Linked DNA regions of Ovis aries. The protein of the gene in region 1 interacts with the protein of each later gene in a pairwise test. Links are inferred from orthologs where the notes say so. Each region holds a gene or a part of one and is shown on either strand. Other genes may lie near its edges.

Region 1 (3,747 bases):
ATTTCTTTACCATCTGAGCCACATTTCGTTCCTAAAGTTGACCTGCTCTAGACTTAGGGAGTCACAAAGTCGTCCCACTGACTGTGCGCTTCCCTGAGACCTCGGCCTCTACGTGTCCATCTGTAAGTTGGGCATGAAAGTAAAGTCGCTCAGTCGTGTCCGACTCTTTGCGACCCCGTGGACTGTAGCCCACCAGGCTGCTCTGTCCATGGGATTCTGCAGGCAAGAATATTGGAGTGGGTTGCCATTTCCTTCTCCAGGGGATCTTCCCGACCCAGGGATCGAAACCCAGGTCTCCTGCATTGCAGGCGGACGCTTTAACCTCTGAGCCACCAGGGAAGTTGGGCATAAACCAGTAAAAATGCAGATGAGCACCGGACCGGTGGTAAACTACACTGGGAAGATCCCAGGGGACAGGAACGGGGGGGCGGGTCCCAACTTAGGTGGGTGTTTATGTCAGGAGAGGGATGGTGATTTGGGCCTCAGCCCAGCGAGGCCGGCTGCCGGGCGGAGAAGTGCCAGCGAAGAAGGGGTTAGGGGAGAATCTATGACTAGGGGTGGGGGTGAGGGCCCCGCGGAGCAATCAGGTGGGGGATGGAGCCTCGGGCTCCTCCGTGCTTTGTTCAGTTACAAGCCAGGCCCCTCTTTCCGGAGAAGCCAATTAGATCCCCGCCGGGGGATCATCTGACCTCGCGCCTCCCGCCGGGAGGGGCTTCGACAGGGGCGGGGCCGGCGGTCGCCTCCTCCGGGACCCGGCCGCGGGCCGTGCGGGGGAGTCCCGGGCGCCGCCGCGCAGCCCGTCCCCGCCCCGCGCCCGCCGCGCCCCGCCCTCGGGGCTTCCCGGGCGCGCGCCGCCCCGCCGTGTCCGCGCGCCACGCCCCCCTGCTCGCGGGCCGCGTGCGGAGCCGCGCGCCCCGGAGGCTCGGGGACCGTGGCGGCGGGCGGCGGCAGAGCAGCCGTCCGCGGGCCATGTCTTCCCCGGCCGTAGCGAGGAGCTCCCCGGGAGGGAGCCAGGAGGTGGACTCGCGGCCGCAGAGGCAGGGCCGGTTTTGGGAAGTGGGCGGCGGCGGCGGCGGCGACCGGCTGGAGCGCGCCGCCGCGGAGTCGGAGCGCTGGGAGCTGCTGCTCCGCCGGGGCGAGCTGCTGGCGCTGGGCGGCCACCTGAAGGGCGCGCTGGAGGCGTACGCGGCGGCGCTGCGCCGCGGGGCCCCGGTCAGGCCCGAGTGCCTCGGCACCCTGGTTGACTGCCTGGTGTTCAACTACCGGCTCCGCCACGGTTTGGGCTGGAGCGCGAGTCCGGCGGGGGGCGCCCACCGCGGCGTTAGCGCCGGCGGGCTGCTTAGCTGCCTGGGCTGCCGGGGCTTCCTCAGCGAGCCGGTGACCGTGCCCTGTGGCCACAGCTACTGCCGCCGCTGCCTGCGGAGAGAGCTCCGCGCGCGCTGCCGCCTCTGCCGGGACCGGCTGCCGCCCGCCGCGGCTGCCGATGCCCCGGGGACCTCCCCGCGGCCGCCTCCGGCCGCCGCCGCCACCGCCACCGCCACCGCCACCGCCTCCTCCGGCTTCAGGACCAGCGTCGTTCTCAACCACCTGGCCGAAAAGTGGTTCCCGGGCCAGCGGGAGCGAGCCCGGGCGGCCGGCCGGCTCGGGGAGCTGCTGCACCAGGGGCGCTACCGGGAGGCCCTGGCCGCCGCCTGCGAGGAGCTGCGAGCAGGTGAGCGCGCGGGCCCCGCGACCGCACCCTTCCTTCCCAACGCGCGGGGCGGCCCCAAGCTCGTCTGCGCCCCAGGCCAGCTGCCTCCCAGGGCTTGCGTCTTGGGGTCCCGGGTTGTGTGTGTTTTGGGGGGTGTGTGTGGGAAGGGGCGGCGCCCCGAGGTGCTTCGGTCACAATGGGGATCGCCCTCGAGCCGACTGTGACGCGGCGCGGGGTTTCCTACGCCTCGGCCTGGCGCTGTGGCGGGCGCGCCCCGAGTGGAGCGGCGCGGAGCGGGTGGCCGGGCGAGGCCGCGCGAGCGCGGGATGGGGAGGGTGTTGGGCGAGCCTGAGCGTCGGCTCGCTTCCTGCCGCGCTCTTTCCGGTAATTGGCCGCCCGGGCCGGGTCCGCCGCGGGGAGACTCCTTGCCGGGGCGGGGAAGTGGATCCCCAGCCGAGGATGGGCGTGCAACGTATATACCTTGGTCTCCCGCAAAAGTCACCGGGGCAATTGGAAGCCGCGGGAGGCAGAATTGCATAAGCCGGGGTGGGTGGGGGTGGTGGAGGGCGTTGTGTAACGGGTGACGTCGGGTGGGCGTGGCGGGAGCTGGGCGCCCGCACCCCGCACCCGGAGGCCCGGTCGGAGCTGCCCAGGGTTGTCCCAGTCTTGAATGAGAACGCCCAGAGACTTGCTGCCTCTTGATGGTGTCCACCTGTCTGTTTCACAGCGTGCTTATTTCAGAAACGCTTGTGCTTCCTTTCGAATGCACGTAGCTCACGGTGAAGATAATAGAGGTAGTCTCTGATGGAGTTCGTGGCCACGCTTGTGTTTGCCTTTCCACACTCTTGATCAAGCTCTGGCGGCGAAGGGCCTCTGAAGATCTTTGGTCTGTTCTTTCGCCGCCAAGAAGCAGTTTCAGCCTGCTAACCTAGGCTAGCCACTCTTCTTAAGGTGGTTTGGGGCTGTGGAAAGAGACCTTGGCGGAGGTAGTTAGCTGTGTAAAATGAAGCGTTGTAAAATTGGTGGTTTTCTACCATGGGTATTCCCTCCACCCCCACTCTTGGGACGTTATCAGGGGCAGTATCTAGAGACGTTTTTGGTGGCCACCCCTTGTGCGAGTGGAGTGGTGCTGGTACAAAGAGTGGGCAGAGGCCACGGAGGCTCTTTCCGTATCCAGTGATGCGCGGGACGGTTTCCCACACAATGATCAAGGCCTGAAGTGTCAGTTTTGTCCTTGTTAACCCTTGTGTGAAGTAAGCATATTTCAAGGTGGAATAGAATAATACTTGGAGAATTAACCACCAAGGAAGTAGAATTAATCACCAAGAAGATAAACTGATGTGAGGTTTGAGGTGCATTTATAAACTGTAACTGAAAGCATCTTGGGAGCTTTTTTTTTTAACCCTAAGCGCTCAGTCATTTTGAAGTAGTCATCATGTTAAGTCGTTGAATACCTTTAGAATTCAAACCGCAAACTTGGCATGCTTTCATATACTTTCAGTATCTTTACGGGCAGTAGCAGTTATAGAAGTAGCATGATAGACCCAGAACAAAACAGAACTATTTGGAAGACAAAATTCCTCAGCAGCTCATTCTCTCTGGGTGAATCGAGTTTGGATGGTCAACGAAGGACAGACCATCTAGGACACGTTCCTCAAAATGAGGAAGCAGAAGCTGGGGCAGTGACCCGACTGGTCCACAGTCACACATCCAGCTGATGTGTGGAGGCAACAGTGTGTCCTGAATTTCTCCTAAATGTTGGATCAGGATTCATCCTACCGTTAGGGCTCATCCGATGAAAATGTGTAGCATCAATTCCCAAGGAAGTTTTTTGCCACTAGTGTGAAATAAAGGAGAAACTTACTGACAGCCCTATTCATTATTAACTCCTACTGATTTAAATGGTTTGACCTCTTAAATTAGGCTTTTTGAAAAAACTCAGGTCCTAATCCACAGAAGAACAGGGAGTATTTACTAATTAAGATCTAGCTTTGCGTTCTATGACCGATAATGTTTTTAATTAAAGAAGATTTGGGCCTGGGATTGAGGATATTATT
Region 2 (3,647 bases), on another chromosome or scaffold:
AGACTGGGATCTTCAAGAGTCCATTCATATAGAGATTAAAAGTTGCGGAACAGAGAATAACATTTGTTTGGTTGCAGGTTTGCAAGAACATGGTGACCTGATCTAGGTGGACAGTTGCAAGAACAAAGGATATAGACACAGAGAAGTTTGCAGCACCCAACCTTGCCCCTCCCTTACTCTTCCTTTAGAAAAGTGCTTTGCTGAAACCCTTTGGAGAACTCAGGAGTTGGGTGGGGCAGGAGCCACCTGTCTCCTTGCATGACCCTTCAATAAACCTTTCTCTGTTCCAAACTCCAACATTTCATTGGTTTGTTTAGCCTCACTGTGCGCTGGGCACATGAGCTTGCATTGGGTAACACTATTATCCCCATTTTCCAGCTGAGAAAACCAAGGCACAGGGAGTTAAATGGCCGGCAGTAGTTGCCAGATGTGAATACCAGGCCACTGATGTGCCGACTGGCTCAGTGTCTCCCAGGGCTTGGACCCGTCCACCAGGTGGAGCTAAGCCTCTGTTAAACAGATCCTCCCAAATCACCCTCCCCATCAGTTCCTGGACTAGGAGTAGTGGAGGGAGAAACAGGGATCAGGACCTGCTTTGAACTTGGCGATGGCGCTGAAGAGCGCGGCAGCCCTCTCCGAGCAGGCGTCGATGAGGCTGATGGTGTCGTGGCCGTTGTGGAGGGCGGTCTTACAGAAGCCGCAGAGCAGCTCGTTGTCGTTGCGGCAGTACTCTATGATGCGGCTGGACGGGTGGTGGATGCAGATCTTCTCGTCCTGGTCCTCCGTGCTGGTATCCACGAACACGTGGTCCTGCATGGCCGCGTCCGAATGGAAAGTCTTGAGGCATTCGTTGCACAGATTGAGGCGGCAGGTGAGGCAGCGCTTGTAGGCAACGCGCTGGCTGCGGCAGACCTGGCAGACGATGGGCCCGCTGGAGCGGTCGAAGCGCCACTTGAGGTAGCCATGCTGCTGCATGTAGCGCTTGGTGAGGCGGCCGCGCAGATAGTTCTCGGGCAGCTGCATCTTGTGGCTGTAGGGCATGCAGTGCGAGCGGTTGCACACCGGGCAGATGAGGATGAAGAAGTTCTCGGTGACCTCGGCCTGCTTCTGCAGCCGCCGCAGGCACTTCTCACACAGGCTGTGGTGGCAGGGCAGCATGAAGGAGTGCAGGCGCAGGCGGCCGCAGATGGGGCACGACAGGTGGCCGACCAGATTGCTGTTGGCCGTCGGCATCATCTTCACCTCCTCCAGCTGCGTGTCGCTGCTCCCGATGCGCAGCGCCGTTTTGGAGCTGCAAGGAGAAGCAAACGTGCCAACTCAGGAGGCGGCCTCCGTTTCTCCCTCTCGGAAGGAACAGGTGCATCGCTGAGTCGCAGCGCGGTGTGATGGGGAGGAGCATGGGTTGTCCGGCAAACCTGGTTCTATAGCCGCCTCCACTATCCTTTAGCTGGGTTCACGCATTTAAGTTAATTAACCTCTGTCTGCCTGTTTCCTCATTATAGAATCACTTGATGGGGCTTCTTGAGAAACTTAAAATGGAACTGAAAACCTGGATGGCCTTTCAGCAGTCCCTGGAAGGCTGTACCTGATACGCAACTGCTTGTTGTTACTTTTGAGCAAGAGAAAAACAGCCCAGAGGGGCAGGCACTTTCAGCTGGGTATTGGGATTCTGTTGGCCGTAGACAATATCACAAACACCCTCGGCAGACAAGGCCATTCTGGGACTGTGGTGAAGCAAAGCAGAAACAAATCACTTCCTCATATTTGAATTCAGAAGCAAGAACATTGTCCAAACCACAAAAATCACCAAACATCCCCTGTCCTGATTAAAAGCAGTGACTGCTGCTTTTGTTTTTTAAACCAATAACAGGTTCAACCCAGTTATTTCCATGTTCTATGCAAGGTTTATTAAGATACCCAGTCAGAGATTTACCCCTGTGTCCTCACCTACCGTGAGCATAAATCCTGTAATAACTTAGTGATGCCTTCCTACTGAGACAACTCACACTTGCTCATGGTGTATCTCTCTCTTGTTTCAGTGGGACAGTAAATTCAGTCTCCTTCAGCTACAGGTGCGTTCTTCATGGGTGTTACCTAGAGGGCACTGGCATCATTATTATCGTTATGTGTGAGAGGGAACACAGAGATGGGCAAAGTGTTCTTCCCAGGACACCAGGCGGTCAGTCTCCCAGCCAAGCCCAGAACTTGAGTGTTCTAATGATCAGACCACAACTGTGACTTAAGGGGGTAGAAGCCCCCTTAAGGTCGCACATGATGGAATGCACTGCTTTAGAGTTGCACCACTGAGATGTGTCATCACCTCTCTCATCCTCAGCTTCCTCCTCTATAAATCAAAGCTCACAGCACTACTTCCTTCATGAGGATTTTAAAGTCTCCATGGGATAATCCAGGATAAGTGCTTAACTGCCCGGACACAGTAAGCATTCAATAAATGTGCTCTGTAGTGACTTCATTCTGCTCCTAGCCAGCCCATGTCCACAGCAGAGAAAGACAATGGTCAAGTCTGTGAGAAGTGTACATTTCTACTGTATGTGTCTGTTGAACCTTTATCTAATATCAGAGGCTGATTTCACATATTGGAAGAACTGTGGATGAAGTAAGTGCATACTTGTAAAACTCAAGTGCCTATTCTAAGAAACTACAATCAGGGCAGAAGCAGTTTGTGAGAATAAGTGAATTAGATGGAAGTATGATAAGATACTTAATTTGTGACTATTCCTATCTCTCTTATCCTCTGTATTAGTGATGCCTGGGAGTTGAGTTTGACATTGTGCCTGTTTTTTTTTTTTTTTTTTAACTTTTGCCTTCTTGCAGTCCTTATATGTCCCTGGCTTCTTCCCCCTTCCCCCTTCCCTTAGGTCTCAGAGCCCAGTCAAGTGTGATGCCCAAACACGCTGGAATGGAGTGGCCTTTTGGTGACAGTGTCCTTATGGAGACTTGGGCACCTGGGAAGTTCTCTCTTGGAGATTTGGATGCTGGTGTCCAAGGCTGCTAGCCTCAATATTTTCAGTCTCATTCCTTCTCTGCTTTCCCAGCCTCTCTGCTTTCTCAGCCTCTCTTTCTCCTGCCCAGGTCCTGAAGGGGTCACCTGGAGAAGCAGGCTAGTTTTACAAATGGCAGTTGGATAGACTACTCCAGTTTGATAAGGTGGGACTCTGAGAATCAGGGTGTAATATAAAGAAAAATAGCAAGAGAATTCAGAAAGAGAGAGGGAGAGACAAGGGTGTTGGTGGAAGAGGGAAAGAGAACACGGTGAGGAGACAGGTGTTAATGGCCCAGGGAGCTGGCATGGAGGTGAAAATGAAAGTGGGAAAAGGAGATGAGTAAGGCAAGGAGGGATGAATGAGCTCAGAGTGAGGTGGGATGAGGAAGATGCTGAGCAGGAAGCAGTGATGAAGAACAGGGGAGGCAGGGATCAGACACCAGGAGGGAGGCCAAATGGAAGGAATATGTCTCAGTGTACCCAGCACAAGCTGCCTGATACTTGTGGTTGCATCTCTGACCATCATCAGAAAGCCTCAGGCCTGGACTCGGGCATTCGGTGACCATCATTCCTGCCAAAACAGTTACCAAGCCAAGCACTTGTCTTCTTGTTGAGATAATGGCCTCTGCTCCTCTGTACAATG
Region 3 (3,652 bases), on another chromosome or scaffold:
CAAATCGCCGGCCCCGCCTCCTCGGCGTCCGGGCGTTACTCTGCAAATCTCTACGCCGCCGCCACCCGCACGTGTGCGCGCGCACTCCGAACCCTGCCAGGCCTTTACATCGCCGTCCCAGGAAAAGGAGAGGCTTCGTGGGCTCGAAGAGACACCACCACTAGCTGCCGATAACACACTGACCAAAGAGACCAGCTGTTGACCTCTGTCCGCAGGGACTACTTTTTGTGAGAGGCTCGCGGAAGATCCCTTGGGTAGTTTTTAAACGCCGTACCCCGCCTTTCGATTGGATGCTGCAAACTTCGAAAAGAATCCTTGGACCAATCAGGACAGAAAAGCTGACCGGCTCTTACCCAATCAGCGAGCCCCAGCCTCAGCCGTTTCCTCTGTGGGTTGGGAGAGGGGGAGGTGCTAAAGCTGGGAGGCGCTGACTGGTTATGGGTCACTTCCAGCGCTCCACCTCCTTCTCTCAAACCCCGCCTTCGTATGCAGATTACTTCTACCTGGTGTTGGCTTTGCGCCTGCTCAGTAATGCTTTGAGCCGCCGTTCGGCTCCAGGTTGAGCTCTGATTGGCTGATAACCCTTCCCTGTCGGCTAGACTGCAGCCTCTCTTCCCTCCTTCCACCTGGGCTGGGTTAGTGAGAGCCCACCCAGTGCAGGGGGATGATTGGTTGAGTGCTGCCCTGCGCTGCCCGATGATTGGCGGAGCTTAGAGTCAGTCTGGGAGAGGTGGGGGAAGGGCCCCAGACTGACTGAAGAGCCCAGGGGCGGGGTGGGAAGGAGGACCGGCCAACCTTGGGGTGTGGGACGGAGTGTGCGTGTTTGTGTGTGTGTGTGTCAGTAAAGGAAGGAAGGTGGCGAAGGGAGGAGAGTCCGAGTGGGTGGAGGGAGGGGAAGGGCGGGAGAAGAAAAAGGTGGGAGGAGAGACAGGTGGGAGGGTGGCGACTCACTCAGGATCCGGTGGGGGCAACGCAATGAGGCGGGTGACCCTGTTCCTTAACGGCAGCCCCAAGAATGGAAAGGTAAGGGGGTCGGGAGGAGGCGAGGCGGGCCGGGCTGCGGGGGGCGAGGGCAGCGGAGTGCGGAGCGGGCTCGCGGGGCAGAGGGCTGAAGTTGGGGAGAGGGACTGGAAGCGGGGAGGTGGGCGTGCGCCGGGGCGGGGGGCGTCCGGGAGGAGGCCGACCTTGGGTCCCTGAGGCCTCCTCCCCAACCCCGGGATCCCTAGCCCGCGCCTGCCCTTGGACTCTCCAGCTGCTCTGGGGACCGGCGCAGTTCAGTTTGGGCTTAATCGTTCTCAAGACCAGGTGTGGGTCCTGGAGTACAGAGTACTCGGAGGGCGTGGGGACGGTCGCTGTCACCTGATGCTCAAATTCCGCTTTCCACCTCCACCAAGACCCCGCTGCCCCCCCGCCCGTGGCTGCAGAAGGCACTGGTTTCCCACCTTCGTGCTGAGTAATGGTCCGCTCCAGAAAGTGCTGGTTAACAACTAAAGCATTTAAGGGTGATCAGGTGAAAACAATTAAAACTTTCTATCCGTGGCTAAGTAAAACGTTCTCTCAGCCTAAGTCGAATAGAGGGATGAAATAATACTGACATTTTCTAGATGGTCACCCCCCCTACTTTGAGGATCCCACAGCACCACCGCCGCCAAAACTTCTGTACTCGCTTTATTAATATTTCGCACTATTTTAGTTTCTTAGAGGACTGGGACAATAGACCGAAGTGGATGGATTGGACATTACTCTTTGCTGTGTTAGGCCTTTGTTGAGGGTGTGGTGCTGAATATTTTTCCATCGCTGGAGCAAGCCAAAATGTATCCTGTTCCTTCTCAGCCCCTTGCCCCACCCATGAAAGTTGTTCGGCGTCTATGGAAAATTTGACCGTTCAAGGCAGACATTTATGGTGTGGCTAAATGACATCTAGAAATTACTAAGCAATAGAGTCGGAGTTGAAGGTAGATTGGGCTCCCTGTCTTATTTGCCAGCATGTTTTCTGCATCTTTTGCACACACTGTAAATTTTTAAATAGCGCAGTTGTGCCCACGGTATAAAAAAATGGCTTTCCAACTACTCTGCAGTTTTGAGTAAAAGTGCTCTAAAGATTTGAACCACGCTGTAGTTTTTTGACTGCAGTTATCGTGTTTTTCTGATTTTAGAGATGTAGTACTCATTAGAAGAGAAGTAGCATAAATTTAAGTAATTGAGTTTTCATAAATTCTTCACAGCATTCACTTTATTAACTTTTTTCTGTACCTGGTTTGTCTGTTGATAACTGCTACTCATAATCCAAAACATATGTTGTTACTGGAAGAAAGATTTAGTATATCCAAAGCTACAATTGTAGTATGTTCTCGAAAACAGGCCTGTGACTGACCCTTTTCTTCAACATTTCTGTTATGTTATTTCATGAAAGGCAAGATGTTTAGACCCAGCCATAAATTTTTAACTACTTCTCCTGAAACTACTGAGTTTTATTCTTGTCAAAAATTCGCTGGCTTAGTCTTGCCAAGGTTTTTTTTTTTTTTTTTAATGTACTTTTGACTAGGTTAGCTTTTTGGATTTAAATATTAGTTTACTTAAATACTTTGCTAGAGAATTTCAGAAAATTGGAAAAAACTTCTCAAATAGTTCATTACAAACATTATAAAAATCCAAATTGGAAAAGACTAATGTGACTCAATATTGAAAGTAAGTCAGGGGCTTCCCTGGTGGTCCAGTGGTTAGGATTCCATGCTTTTACAGCCGAGGGTGCAGGTTCCCTATCGGGGAACTAAGATCCCCCAGGCAGTGCGAATCAACTAAAAAAAAAAAATAAAGACGTGGTAATCTTTACTGTTTAACTGAGAAACATATTCTGTGCCAAAGTTTTCAGTGTTTCCTCCCCTCCCCTTAAACTGATTAAAAAAAAAATACTATTACTGATTTTTAAAAATTACTCTTATTTGATCAAAGAGCAGAGTAATACATAACAGCCTGCATTGCCGTATAGATGAAGTGGCTGTACTTAGCCAGGGTTGGCATGATCTTGACATGATTTTCATGAAACTGAAACAGAGCACTACTGCAAGATAAACAGTTTGGTCTCTTGTCCACCAGTTGAAATATCTGTCACTTTCATTATCTCCATACTTACCTAGCTTCTGTTTTTGTTATCTGGCCCTAAGAGTAATGCCTGTTTTTTTTTTTTTTTTCACAGAAGTTTCCCTCCTTTAAAGCTTGTTGAGCAATTGCCAACACTGGGTGGTGAAGCTTGGGGCTGGGAAGGCAGAGTCACTGCAGATTGTTGTTCAGTCGCAAAGTTGTATCCAACTCTGCATTTTTTAGTCACTGTAGAGGACAACATATGCTCACAACGACTTTTGACTTTTGTGTATAGTGAGTAAACAGAAGTATACTGAATGTTTTGATGTTGAAGATAGGTTGCGGGGAGGGGTGAGTTGTGCCTTCATTAAAGTGATGCTTTCCCAAGTGAGATTGTCTACCTCACAGGGCATGCAAGAAGATCGAGTAGTTTAAGAAGAAATACTACACCTTTTAGGTGGTTTTTTTGTTTGTTTTTTTTTTTTAGTTAAAGATACAAAATTACATCAAGACTTGATTTGGCCAGTCTTAAAGGACACAGGTGCTTTTAGTCATTGAGTGGGTCAACTGG

What was found.
Region 2: the proteins of LONRF1 (region 1) and TRIM42 interact in binary tests that used the Homo sapiens proteins (3 or more experiments, as listed by UniProt). The two-hybrid records come from large-scale screens. The link is inferred for Ovis aries from reciprocal best matches to the Homo sapiens genes LONRF1 and TRIM42.
Region 3: the proteins of LONRF1 (region 1) and KCTD9 interact in binary tests that used the Homo sapiens proteins (3 or more experiments, as listed by UniProt). The two-hybrid records come from large-scale screens. The link is inferred for Ovis aries from reciprocal best matches to the Homo sapiens genes LONRF1 and KCTD9.

The regions. Positions count from the first base shown.
Region 1 is NC_056079.1:23,392,208-23,395,954, forward strand, and holds the start of LONRF1 (LON peptidase N-terminal domain and RING finger protein 1), read left to right. Parts: upstream 1-916; 5' UTR 917-969; coding exon 970-1,711; intron 1,712-3,747.
Region 2 is NC_056054.1:248,862,589-248,866,235, forward strand, and holds part of TRIM42 (tripartite motif-containing protein 42), read right to left. Parts: intron 1,292-3,647; coding exon 591-1,291; intron 1-590.
Region 3 is NC_056055.1:40,123,990-40,127,641, forward strand, and holds the start of KCTD9 (BTB/POZ domain-containing protein KCTD9), read left to right. Parts: upstream 1-746; 5' UTR 747-975; coding exon 976-1,023; intron 1,024-3,652. UniProt on the Homo sapiens protein: Substrate-specific adapter of a BCR (BTB-CUL3-RBX1) E3 ubiquitin-protein ligase complex, which mediates the ubiquitination of target proteins, leading to their degradation by the proteasome.